Caenorhabditis elegans: one gene and its partners. The protein of the gene in region 3 purifies or fractionates together with the protein of the main gene of each other region. This does not show direct contact. Each region holds a gene or a part of one and is shown on either strand. Other genes may lie near its edges.

Region 1 (5,000 bases), on a different chromosome or scaffold from region 3:
GAAGCAAGTGGTGTTCGATGGGTTCATTACTCCTCCATTTTGGCATTGATGATCTGGTGGCGGGGTAGGATGAACGGCAGCACAGAACATAGTTCCGGCACGTTGAAGAGCCATGTCATTATTATCACGAGCAAAGAAATTGAAGTAAAGAACTTCTTCTGGAACACGGCAAGTGAATGGTGGGAAGTAGAAGTTGAATTCACAGGCATCTCTGTACATTCCACTTGATCCGTAAACCTCGGTTTGAACTCCGTCACGAATAGCATAAATCTGAAGATTGGCATGCACACGGTCCATTGAGAGGAACTGAGGGTAGTTGGTAACATGGAAAACTGGAGATGAATCAAATCCAAGAACTGGCTGACGTAGAACTCCTGCTGCCGAAGTAAGAGTAGAAGCGAATGACCAGAAAATATCATAGTCGGGGCTGTATTGAGTTTGTCCGCCAAAGTTGAACTTCTTCTGATAAACCTTAAACGTGCAAGCTGCTTCTGGTTCAAGTGATCTGATAGAGAAGAACCATTGACCAGCAACTGGCGAGTTATACGTCCAAACATAGTTCACACCATCAGAAAAGGCGGTGTTGAAAGTTGGATACTGTCCTGTTGGGCTTGTCACAACTAGAGTCAAATTTGTTCCAGTGGCTACAATTGTAACGTAGTCAACGCTAAGATCAAAGGCAGCTGACTTGTACAGATTCTGGCTGGAGCAGTGTGAGTAATCTCCGGAAAGAACAAGTTGGGATCGGAACAAGGTGTTAAGCATGTGTCGGTAGAAGAACTATAAAAGTTAATTGATATGGGAGATATAAAGTGAAGTGACTTACGGTCGAAATAGTGCTTCTGTCGCTGAAATAGAAAGTGTTACCACTTGAACGAGCAGCCATGTCCACCATATCTCTATATGCAGAGTTATCTGGAGATGAGTTACATCCATCGGCTGGAGATGGTTGAACGTAAATGAAGTAGATCTGAAATTTAAATAGAGTCAACATTATTTGCTTTCATGTTATTTACCGGTGCTCTCCAATAAGATTCCAGATGGAACACAGTTTCCTTCTCAGCACTATCATTTGGAGTGGCGTCCGTAATCACATAGATCGGGGATTTGTTTGTTGGATAGAGAGAAAGTGCAGATCTGTAATGAATTAGCATTTTTAAACATTATTACATACCAGTGAACTTACGCAACAGCAGACATGACAACATCATCACATCCTCCTTCGCTTGGAGCGGAATGGATAGCTTTTGTAAGATCGACCATTGCAGCGTCCCATGAATCATATTGTCTGTTCACCAAGAGCTCTGAAATAATACACTTTCATGTCAAATATGTTTTAGATCAAAACTCACTTCCGTTATCAAAAAGAACAACAATGAACTTTGATAGATATCCAGGTTCACTAGCGAGAAGATCAACAATACTTTGAACAGACTCAGTTGCTTGTTCAATAACTGCAGAGAGCTGGCTTCTTGATCGGATGACAAGGGTGAGAGTTGGGTTTTCAGCGTTGAAGTCAAAGCCTGACATGTCGGTACACAAGACTGCAAAGTTATTATGTTTTAACAGATAATTTTTACTAGTGCATACTATTCTGGCAATGGAAGCCACTGAATCCTTCTGGGCATTGACAACGGTCACTGGTTGGAGTCGGCAAGAAACCTTAATAGTTATTATAAAAAATATATAATTTCAAGGATGAATTGTACCTCCGTTAGCACAGAGCATTTGCGAGCAAGTACTTCCAGAGTAAAGTCCAAAGCAATAACAATATGCAACTCCATTAGAGTCAGTAAGCAACTGCCCTCCGTTTTGACAAGAAGTTATCGGTGCTGCAGGTGTTGTCGGGACAGCGGGGGTAGTAGTTGTTACTGGTGGTACTGAAAAGGTACTTTTTCTTAAAAGTCTTATATAAACTTCTTATATACACTACAAAGAAACTCACAGACGCATTGGTAAGGAACAATACGACGGAACTTGTAGCCAGAGTTAGTCACACCCTCCACCTGAAAACAAAAATTTGAATGTTTAGCACCTTTGGTTCAATCGAACTTGAATGAGATTGTGTCCAGCATCGTTATTGCTGGTTTTTCTGCAAGTGTATCTCTCCAAGATGTATGGATAAGTACAGTTGAAACGGGTTGTCATTGGAATGTATCTTGAGATGTGGTTCTCGGCACCGGTAAATCCAATTGCTTGGATTTGACCAGGAAAGTCCAAACCTTGAGCATGAATTGCAACAACCGACTCAGTATCGAAATATGTAAACTTGAGATTTGGATAGTCACTACGCTCGGCTTGATCTCCTGAAGTGAATCCACCGGAAACATGAATGCTACTGCGGGATGACATCATCATTGTACAAAACTGCTCGCTGGTGTCGGCTCGTGGTCCAAGCATATATTGTCCGGGAGGCAGATGCAAATAATTTGCAGTGAACATTGTTGGAAGTTGAATGGATTCGTCTGGGAATATGAGATCTCCATTTTCAGCTTGAAGATAGAATGTTGGGTTCAATGCTGACGCCGTCTCGACTTCAATTTTGATATTCCGCATCGTCTCGTCAACGACGACGATGTATGATTCAGAGCAATTAGCCAGATTGTAAGCATCAATTGCAATGTCATCAAATCCGTCGTTGTTCGGAATGTACGGGTTGCGAGCAGAACAGAGGGCTGAAAAATTTCTGCGTCATGGAACATTTTAGAAATATAAATCTTAAAACTCACGATATTGGCAAGTTTCACCGGTGTACCCTGGCTTGTTGCATCCTCGAGTAGCCATTCCAGCCAAAACGTGTGGTTCAGCAATGGATCTTTTGGAAATATGATGGGTGTCCAACTGAAATTAAAAATTCGAATCGCACCTGTTTGCTAGACCTTACAAAAATAACCCTTTCTTCCATAGTCCTGTACTTTTGCTCTCTGACTGGCTCGAAAAACTGCTTCTGCGATGCCGGACTCCATGATCTCAAAACCGCGCGTATTCTGTCCTTGTGACTGAGCTCCTGCTCAGTCGCCAGGCAGATCACGGCCAGGGCCGCAATCAAAACCCAGTTCCTCATTTCTAAATAAAAAATATTAGTTTTTTTGGAAGCAAACTTGAAGGGGTATTATCAACAGCTTAAAATGAAAAAGAAGCACTGGAGTAATGCGACTAAAAGTACTATCAAGAAAACCTTATAGCAATCAAAGTCGTTAAATAAGAAAATGGGTTGGGCACGCTCGTAACATCGTGGCAACTTCTTATCTTTCAATGCTATGCATAAGGGCATAATAAAATTTTCCCCCGGGCTCTCCTGATTTTTCATGTTCTTGTTAACAATAAAACGCCTTACATTTTTATGAGTCAAAATTCAAAACATAAAATTTGCTCGGACAATAAAAGAACCTCGACATTTAGAATTCACAATCGAATTACCAGAGTTACCAAAAAACAAAAAGTCAATAGAATTGAAAATGATGATACATGAAATAAAGCATAGAAAAAATGGGAAATCTCAAACAGACATGGTTTTCATACGGGTAGGCACGGTTATGCTTGAAGATGGGAAAGAAGACAAAACAACCATGCTGGCAATTGTCAATGGCTAGAGATCCAACTTGCAGACCAGGCTTGGATGCCACCAGTCGCTATGATAAAAATAAAGTAATTTTGAAAAGGGAAACAGTTCAGATATTGTATATCAAAATGAGCTATTCTAGTTTAGTGGCGGATTCGTTTGATGAGCAAGTAAGCGTCTCTTGGGCTAATACGATAGTAGTCCTCGATAATTCCGTCATTGGTGAAGCCATGCTTCTCATAGAATTGCACCGCATTTTTGTTGTTGACCTGGAAAATTACTTTTTTTCAGATCCACTTTTTTCTGGATACCTGCACATGTAAGTACATGGTCTTAATTTCTTCCATCTTATTGCACAATTTTAATGCGTAGTCGATGAGAATTGTACCAATACCGATTCTGAAATAGCACATTTTATTACCTCGTAAAACGCCCTTGGTATAATAATTAACGCTATTAAAACCGTCATTTTCAGGTAGAACTGTACCAAAAAAACGTCATTGATAAGGTAAATTTGATCTGACTCAAAACTCACTGTCGGTAGGCGGCAAGGGTTCCAAGTGTCATGAGATACAACGACTTCTCGTCTGAAATATCGTCAATGCGACAGCACACGGCGCCCACGACGACATCGTTGTAGTAGGCAAGACGTCCAAGTTCTCCGCAATATCGAGCTTCCACATAGAACTTGTCGTTGTAGGCAATTGGGAAGACATCTTCATTGAGCTTTTTCAGTTGCTGAAATTATAGTAAATTGAAAAATCGAGTTTCGAGTTTTATGAAGTTCGTGTATTTTTTGTTGAGGTTTGAAAAACAAATAGGATTTCAGAAATCGCGTTTTACTGATGAAAATGGGAAGGCTAAATTAAATTTAAAAGGTGGAGGTTAAAATCATCTGTTTGGTTCAAGAGTGAGTGAAGACCTTCAGCAAACTTTGAGTGTGCTTCAGCAAACTTTGAGTTCAACTACTTGTCTGACATGCTCGGTAGGCTACAACGTATTTTAACAGCTCATTCTATGCCAATTTACACAATTTTCACAGGTACAGAATACAGGGCAATGTTGAAAGCTTCAAAAATGAACAGCAAAGTCGGCCTAGGTTTGCTTTTTTAGCCATTCACAGAATATATATAAATCGGAACAGAATTTTATTGAGTGGGCTCACATTCACTGCGTGCAAGAGTAATATTCAATTTTTTAAGACGCAAAAATTAAGGCTACATCATATTCACATTGATCGAGAAAATATGGGTTTCATTTAATATTATGAATTCTAGTTCGTTTCATAACATACATTTCCTTCAACAAATTAATAAATTCTCACCAAAATGTTGTGCGGCGTAATTTCTCCCAAATGAACTGTCCCATGACCGGCAATTGTTTTCAGTGCTTTTCCATTCACGTCAAATTTATTAATCAATGGCACCAGTTGATCAAC
Region 2 (4,761 bases), on a different chromosome or scaffold from region 3:
GAGTCAACAGATGGTCTCAGGATAAGTCCTCCACTGTAGTAAGAAGCGTATTCGATGGCTTGGAAACCTTGGCTCATTTCATCAAATGCACAATTAGATTGAACAAAGTAGTGAGTGTATATCTGAAATTGCAACTTCTACTTATGTTAACATCAGTTATGTAGTACCGGGAACTTCATGCGAGTGTTTTGCTCAATGACGGTTTGCCATTTCTCGACATCACTAGCAGTTGCGTCAGTGAACAAATAGACTGGAGATTTTTGATAGAGAGCGACTTCGTTAAAAATAGAGCCGATCGCATCAAAAGTAGCATCCGAACATTGTCCAACAGCAGTTGAAGCTTGATTGATGGCAGCCAGGAAAGCATTTTGGTCAAATGCTGGGTAGTAGGTGTTGGTGTAAGCACCGTTTGCAAATTTAACAATGACAAATCCTTTGTATACTTCGTAGTTGTTGCCGTCGTTACTTGTTAGTTCTTTGTAGATAGCACTGGAGATCGCATTTAGGTTTTGATTCATCGAAACGGTGCTTCGAATGATAACAACCAATGTCTTGTAGTTGGTAAGATATTGTTCCCAGTTCAGTGGACAGGTAACTTGAAAGATATATTTAATATATAAATATAACTGAAACTTAACATACCATCTTGACAGTTTGTTCCATGGTATCCAGCAGCACATTCGCATAGATTACCGTCTGGATCTGGGAATCCGGCGTTCATACAGTTAACTTTTTCACATTGTTTTCCATTAAACAGCTCAGAGCAGAAGCATGTTTGGCCTTGGTTAGCAACATTGAGGAGTGTTCCATTGTTGAAACAAGTTGTCACCGGAGCTTGGGTCGTTGTTGGAGGAGCTGGTGATGTGAGAAGTTCTGAAAAAAGACTGATTGCAATTTGTAGTTAACAGTTATGAAACTAATAATTCTTGAACGCCTGAGCTCAATAAACTCATGACACTTTCAGCTTATAGAAAACTAATCATTCAAATAACAAAAGCGTTGTTGACTTACGCATGCATGAGAATCTTCCGGTTCTTCTGAAGTTAAATCCGTTGGCGTCAACTCCATCAATCTGAAAGAAAACATTAAACATTTTAATTTGAACTTCGTAGTACATGATAGAAGTAGGCATTTCCAAGTTGACATTGCCACTGTCCTGCATAGTATTCATACCCGCACTGATACCTGAAAAAATGAATGGGGAAAGTGATTTGCTTTTATAGGGGTGTTAATGTTTTCAGGAGATAAATCAAGTCTAAATGCTAATTATTTCCACAAATACAGTTCCCTACCTTCTTGTGAGAGCTGCTCTGTAGACTGGAGCCAAAGAATTGCCTTGGCGAATGGTGATAGATTGAACTTCTGCAATATAAAGATTTTGTTTTATATTTAAAAAACGAAACTAACGAGCTGGTGAATTGTCAACGTGAGCGGCCATATACATCGGAACACCGTTGATTGCAGATTCACCATATGGAGGGTCGTCTGACTGTGGAGAATACACAAATCCATCCACAGCTTTCAATCCGCTGGGGTCACCCTAAAACTGACTTCATGTGCTTTTGTATTGAAATTTATATGGAAATTACTTAAAATTGAAAACTATAAATTAAATATGCTTTATATAATGCTTTATATGTTGGAACTCTCGCAGTTTTTATAAATAAATGGCTGCTGGCACAAAATTTATAATTGCAAAATTAAAAATTGGTTGTTGGTTAATCAAAGATGGTTAATCAGAGATAAAAAACCTTTGTTTTATTTTATTTTTATAAAAACGTTTTTTTTTGCTAGGAAAACTACATTTCATAAAATAATCTGAATAATGACATTCCTTATCAATGTCTGAACTTTTGAAAACTTCCCGGTGCACTTGAAGCAAAATATAAGTTAGTATGTATGACATATACAATTCATTTGGGCAGTATGGAACATCGTTGTTTTAAATATAATTTGTTCTTAATTTTAGTAGACAATTCCAGGTTTTAAGAATTTCAGAAATTATGTAACTTTAGGTAAGGTTCTTTTGATGAATTCACTATATTATTCATTGATTTGATCTTTAATAACGACATGGTATACAGTATTTTTATAACGCGCCATTTTATTTCCAATTCCACGTTTTAATTCATTTTTAGCGCGCCCATTTTGATATGCCGAACTCGTAAAAATGTAGGGAGGCAACTCATGGTTATCAGTTTTTCATCTTGTTACGATGGCAAATGTTGAACATTTTGAATGAAAATGTGCGAAATGTAACTAGAAGGCAGACTACAAAATCTCACTTACATTAACTTCAATGATGCATTCGCTTGTTGGAACACCCTGGTTATCAATGGACAAGGTATATCCACCAGATGGAAGATCGGCGTAGACATTCAGAGAATAGCTATCGTCGGCTACGGAGTAAGATGGAGAAAATACAACTCCCTTTGCATCGGTCATATTCACATATGGAATTCCAGCAGCCGAAACATGGATTTGAATGGTTTGGGTAGGCTTGTTGCCTGTTGAATCGACAGGGATGTAAAATCTTGAAAAAAGAAAATCGTTTTGAAGCAACTAAATTAAAACTCATGCTTACGGTCCACCACAGCTTCCTTGGATAAACATAATCTCAATACTGGAAGTCTGTCCAGATGTTGGTGCAGGTTTTGGATCAGTACAGATTGGGTTTTTGCATCCATCACCAGTCCATCCATTTTCGCATTGGTTGGCAATTCCAAGAACGGCAAAAATCGCACGTTTTGCTCGAATATGGAAAGCATCAGTATTTGTTAGTTCGGGATAATAATTTGGTAGGTGATGAAATACGGAATCTGAAAAAAAAAGTTGTTTTTGTAAAATAGATTTAGTTTGAGTTACCAAGATTTGGAGCAGCTGCAACTGCTGTTACTAATAAAAATAAAGCCAGTAGGAGCCGCATCGTGTGCAGTGGCGACTCGAGCAGCAGCGGACTGAAACTGGAAGGGCTTGTCTTGCCCTATCGCATATGTAAGACCGTGAAAATTTTTTATTGTTTGATAAGCCAATTTTGCTATTTGCCCCGACGTTTTGCCGACTGCCACATTTTTGCCTTCAAGAACTAATATGGTTATCAAGTGATTGCACATGGCACCACGACGACAGGCGTGTATAACGATGGTTTTTTGATAATTCTGAATATTATTCGAATGAATAAAGATTATGAGCAAAAGTAAACGTGGGAATTTACTTCACCTTTAGATATTATTGCTCAAAGCAACATTTACAACAATGAAATGAATGAAAATATTTGGCTTAAAACATTAAGTCTGTTTGGAAATAACAACAGTGTAGTTCGGTCTACTGGCTTTACGTTTTACTTTGAATTAGACTATTATCATTGTTGGGAATGTTTACTTGTTGCTTGTGATTTTAAAAACGGTTCAGTTTTCAAGTAATCAGATCGATCTCGGAAACCCTGAAATGCAGATTTGTCATGGATATGTATCAAAACGAATGCTATGTGGTTAATATGTTGTACTAATTCGGTTAATATATAAACTTGGTTGTAATAATTCTAAACGCTCTTCGTGCATACTTAGATGATTTTTTGAGATCGTAGCATTTTAATTGACTTTTGAACAGATTGTAGTTGTTTTTTTATAAATTTCAAAAATTTTGTAGAAAGTATTAAATAGTGTAGGGCAGAGAAAGAATGTTATGAAAAAGATTGTTTTATATTTCTTTGTGTTTTATACTAAAATTTGCATAATCACAGTGTTCCTCGATATGTTTGTGCAATTATGATAGTTCGCTTTTGATCGCATACCGACTCGTTGGAAATATGTAGTTTCCTGATATGATTCAATTTCTTATCAGACCTATCAATTTAAAATTGCCAACAAATTAATTTACGTAAGGAGTACACACCCAAAATGGAACTCAAGTCAAATTTTGTAGCAATGTTTTGAAACAATTTTGTAAAAAAATGCTTATTAGAAACATTGTCTAAAAATATTTAAAAATTATTTGGCTAAAACTAAATATTTTCCGCTCAGGCCGACTAACATCAACCGCACCATGGAAAGAATCAAATATCTTTGTTTATAAGATATAATTTGTGTACCTTCAACTACATATGAACACACCCATGTTCGAAAATGATTACATTACTGCTGGCACTAAATATCTGCAAATGCAATTTTTCAATTATTTCTGAATCAGTAATAGTGATTTCATCAGGTCAAGTGAGTGTCGTCTGTGAAACTATTGAGATGAGTAAAAGAAAATTTAAATCTTACTATGATAACGAGGATTATGTTCCGGAACTCAATGAACTTAACTTAACTGAACGTTAATGAACTGTTTTGAAGATTGCACTTAAACTGTACTGAATACAGTTGCTCGTTTCTTTAAACTAATCTTCCGATTAAAATAGTTTTGAACTCTTGAATAACATACCGTATTTCCTCTATTAGTCTTGCATGCGAAAATAATTTTCAATCGTCACATAGGGGTGCAAGACTAATAGAGGAAATACGGTAATAGCGTAACAAGCATAACAAATGATTGAAAAATTGGATTTTTGGCTAAAACTACTCCTGTAGAGCCGAAAGTATCGAATATCGTACTAAAACTGGTCAAATCATTTTGAAATGTTTATATTAACAGACAAAAACGACAAAGAATGAGTTTGTACCAACCTTTGTAAAAAGAAAAGCACAGTCCCCCACAGTGTTTAAACATAAATGGTTTAGAAATGTGAACAAAATCATTTCCAATTGTTTTTTCCACATT
Region 3 (3,334 bases):
TTAACGATCACTCTTGTGAATTTGTGGAAGCTATGTTGAATGCAAATGAAACGGTAAGTTAATTTGAAGTTATTAAGACGATGAAAAATTCAAATTTCAGAAAGAAGCCAAGATTGCTCTTTTGAAAAAAGCTTGTGAAACTCATGTTCTTCGAAACAAGAAGTGTATGGTTGGGCAAGGAGTCGATCGTCATCTCTTTGTTCTGTATATTTTATCTCAAGGAACGGGGATTCAGAGTCCTTTCCTTGACAATTATATTAATCAAAAGTGGAAGCTATCTACCTCACATGTGAGTAATCATTAAAATAAGATGACATAGTGCTATGTATTTGGCAGTTGTATCACGTAACTTTCTAATAATGAGCTGAAGGATTTTAATTCAAACATTTTTCAACAATTGCTTTTTCTGGATTTTCCTAATTATTTTTTTTTTAACTTTACAATTTGAACATATCCTATTCCAGGTTCCAAACGTGACTAATCAATGCGACGAGGACACTGATTCAGACAACACTTGGCTCGGAGCATGCTTCGGAGCAGTCGCTGCTGATGGCTACGGAATCTGCTATCGCTTTGGAGGAAACCACGGAATCTTTGCAAACATCACAAGTTATCATTCCGCTGCCAACACTGATTCAACAAAGTTTGCAAAGTTGCTCTCCGAATCGTTCCACGAACTTTCAAACCTTTTCGTTTGAACCATCCCATTTTGTAACAAACGGTTTTATACCCATAACTTGTACCAATTTGAACTCATTCTGCACTATCATTCTAACCTGTTTCATATATTACTGTCACTCAGTCAATAAAATAATTTTTATTAAATAAAAAATTCTCTCGTGTATGACCCATTCAAAAATCACCTGAAATGACTCATGACCAGTTCACGATCTATGCTCAATTCTTGGTGTACACCAGACTATGACTCATGTAAAACTGGTGAAATGTCAAACAGAGTTTCCGATCAAAAATGGCAATTGTACGAGAATTTCATTTTTGATAGCATCACGTTGTGTGTGCCGATGGAAAGATGATTTTAGCACAAAAACTGCAAAAAACGGTTTTTATAGTGCACCAAAAAAGATGGAAAAAGATCTGAAAATGAATGAAATTGAAACTTAAATCTCTTAAGATTAAATATGAAATTTTGCCAATCTTTTCGGTAGGTTTTTGAAATCATGGAAACAGTTCTGGAAAGTTTGCAAACTTGACTATTTGTTTAGCTGACAAATTGTTGATGTGACTTGAATTCGCACCCTTTTCTAGATGAACTAATCCAAATTAACAAACGTAACGAAACATTTTCGAGGACAACAATCCTTTCATATTCATAACTACAGAAATCTGAACACCTTTTCAAAACATTATTTAACATCTAATTTTTTAAAATTCGTGGCATTTGTATGTAGAATTATGTTGTAAAATGATGTAATGATAGTGAGAAATCATTTAGATCTGTAACCTAAATACAATTTTTATACCCTCTATTAGACAAAACTTGATATTTAAAACTTTTTGTATTTCCAAAATGATGTTCCGTCATGCTGAAAAACAAAATAAACCAACAAAAAATTATGCTTCGAGCTGATTACTTGCAAATTATTAACAGAAACATTTCATTCCTAATCAGACGCAACGATTGAATTTGATTTTTCTTCCCCATCAGTTGAGTAATTACATCCTCTTTCATTGAATTCCAACTTTTAGTCTTATTCAGTTCTTTATTTGCCATTGATTTCCCAAATGTAGAAGTGTGTCTGATACCTCCCATTGATTCTTAGTCTTTAAGCAAATAAAACTCGCCTGATGTCATAGAAATATCGATAAGAGTTTGAATAAAAGTCGTGGCATTTCCTCACTTCTCTATCGGTTCAATCGGTCTTACTATCAACTAACATGCACTCCTATCACAACCCCGTGAGTTTTTGATTTTCTAGAATTTTCCAGTTTGGAAACTTCAAGTTTTCAATAAACCAAATTTCAGGGTGTCCCAACCGCTCTCTCGATCTTCGAGCCACTTCAAGATGGATCCACCATCTCTGTTCACGGACATGTTCGTCACGGACATCACAAGAACTTTGCCGTCGAGCTTTTGAGCGGACCAAATGTTGTTCTTCATGTCAACTTCCGTTTCCATCATGAACACGTCGTTGTCATGAACTCCCAGTTCAGTGGAATGTGGGGACCAGAAATCCGTCACAAAAACCCACTTCACCACTCGGAGCACTTCCACCTTAGCATCAAGGTTCACGCTGGATATTACCATGTAAGTTTTAACGTATTTAATTTTATAGTTAACTGTATTCAATTTCAGATCTCTGTGAACGGTCATCACCTCGCCGACTACCCACATCGTTACCCATACCAATCGGTTCAAGCCATCGGATTGAAGGGAGACGTTCATGTTGACAAGGTTCACTTCGAAGGATTCCACTTCCAACGTCGTTGGGACGGACATGTCGATCATGGACACTCTGGATACAATGCCTATGGAACTGAAACCTATGTTGCTCCAGTGTTTGTTCAGCCAAACTTTATGCCATACGGAGCACCACCACCACCAGTCCAAAACTTCAACCCATACAGATAAATCGGGGATCTTATTTTTTTAATGTATTTTTTGGAATTTTCGACGTTAATTGTCAAGTTGTTTTATAAATTTTGCATGTCTTATGAGTTTTTGTTGATAAAAAATGTTTAAATTTAAAAATCGCTAATGCTCAGAAGCCTTTGCTCTCCATTTTCTTTCAAACGTTCGCAAAGAAAACTGAATTTTAAAACAGTAAGTCAATATTATATTTTTTTTATGTCTGCGTGCCTGCCTCATACCTACTCGCCTACCACTTAATTTATTAATTTGGGAATTGAATAACTATATTCAGATGCTTGCAAAGTGTAGAATTAGTTTTCTGGAAGTTCAACTGGAAATCTATGAAGAATATTTATGTGTATTTTGGCAGGAGGCATGAAGGCCGCCTATTAGGCAGTCAGTCAGGGGGTCTTTTTTTTCATGATACACATGTGTTTGGCATATATTAATTTTTATTAACGAATGCACATAAATCAAATTTCAAAACAAAATAGGATAAAACCAAAAGGTAGTTCGTAAATAAAATAACTGACATCAAAAGTGGATTCTCTTTTCAGATGAGAATATTCAGATAACATTTTTTGTCAAATAAATCATCATATATACAGGAAAGTCACCGATTTAAGTGGAGATATAAAATATTCTCAATATGAGTGGAGAAACAAAAAAGAGAGAGAATGAAACAAATACCTGAACACGGAGATTTTTTTGGGGGGAAAGTTTGGAAGATTTTCGGATATTCGA

Evidence for each region. Proteins that work in one complex are often made in the same cells at the same time.
Region 1: the proteins of lec-10 (region 3) and irg-7 purify together in Caenorhabditis elegans (affinity purification with mass spectrometry, with the first as the bait; one study listed by BioGRID). This does not show direct contact.
Region 2: the proteins of lec-10 (region 3) and hrg-11.3 purify together in Caenorhabditis elegans (affinity purification with mass spectrometry, with the first as the bait; one study listed by BioGRID). This does not show direct contact.

The regions. Positions count from the first base shown.
Region 1 is NC_003284.9:3,240,561-3,245,560, forward strand, and holds the start of irg-7 (Protein irg-7), read right to left. Parts: upstream 3,077-5,000; 5' UTR 3,065-3,076; coding exon 2,885-3,064; intron 2,842-2,884; coding exon 2,730-2,841; intron 2,676-2,729; coding exon 2,053-2,675; intron 2,007-2,052; coding exon 1,946-2,006; intron 1,881-1,945; coding exon 1,710-1,880; intron 1,663-1,709; coding exon 1,591-1,662; intron 1,545-1,590; coding exon 1,353-1,544; intron 1,305-1,352; coding exon 1,187-1,304; intron 1,138-1,186; coding exon 1,017-1,137; intron 971-1,016; coding exon 827-970; intron 781-826; coding exon 1-780. Other genes in the region: F40F4.7 (N-terminal methionine N(alpha)-acetyltransferase NatE), read right to left, coding at 3,706-3,831, 3,874-3,961, 4,098-4,300, 4,887-5,000.
Region 2 is NC_003284.9:11,496,924-11,501,684, forward strand, and holds the start of hrg-11.3 (C-type LECtin), read right to left. Parts: upstream 3,077-4,761; 5' UTR 2,927-3,076; coding exon 2,866-2,926; intron 2,820-2,865; coding exon 2,585-2,819; intron 2,534-2,584; coding exon 2,290-2,533; intron 1,541-2,289; coding exon 1,408-1,540; intron 1,363-1,407; coding exon 1,293-1,362; intron 1,186-1,292; coding exon 1,116-1,185; intron 1,073-1,115; coding exon 1,012-1,072; intron 874-1,011; coding exon 643-873; intron 596-642; coding exon 168-595; intron 123-167; coding exon 1-122.
Region 3 is NC_003283.11:6,487,574-6,490,907, reverse strand, and holds lec-10 (Galectin), read left to right. Parts: upstream 1-1,787; 5' UTR 1,788-1,896; coding exon 1,897-1,917; intron 1,918-1,984; coding exon 1,985-2,266; intron 2,267-2,314; coding exon 2,315-2,590; 3' UTR 2,591-2,705; downstream 2,706-3,334. Other genes in the region: cpt-6 (Choline/carnitine acyltransferase domain-containing protein), read left to right, coding at 1-53, 101-289, 465-698.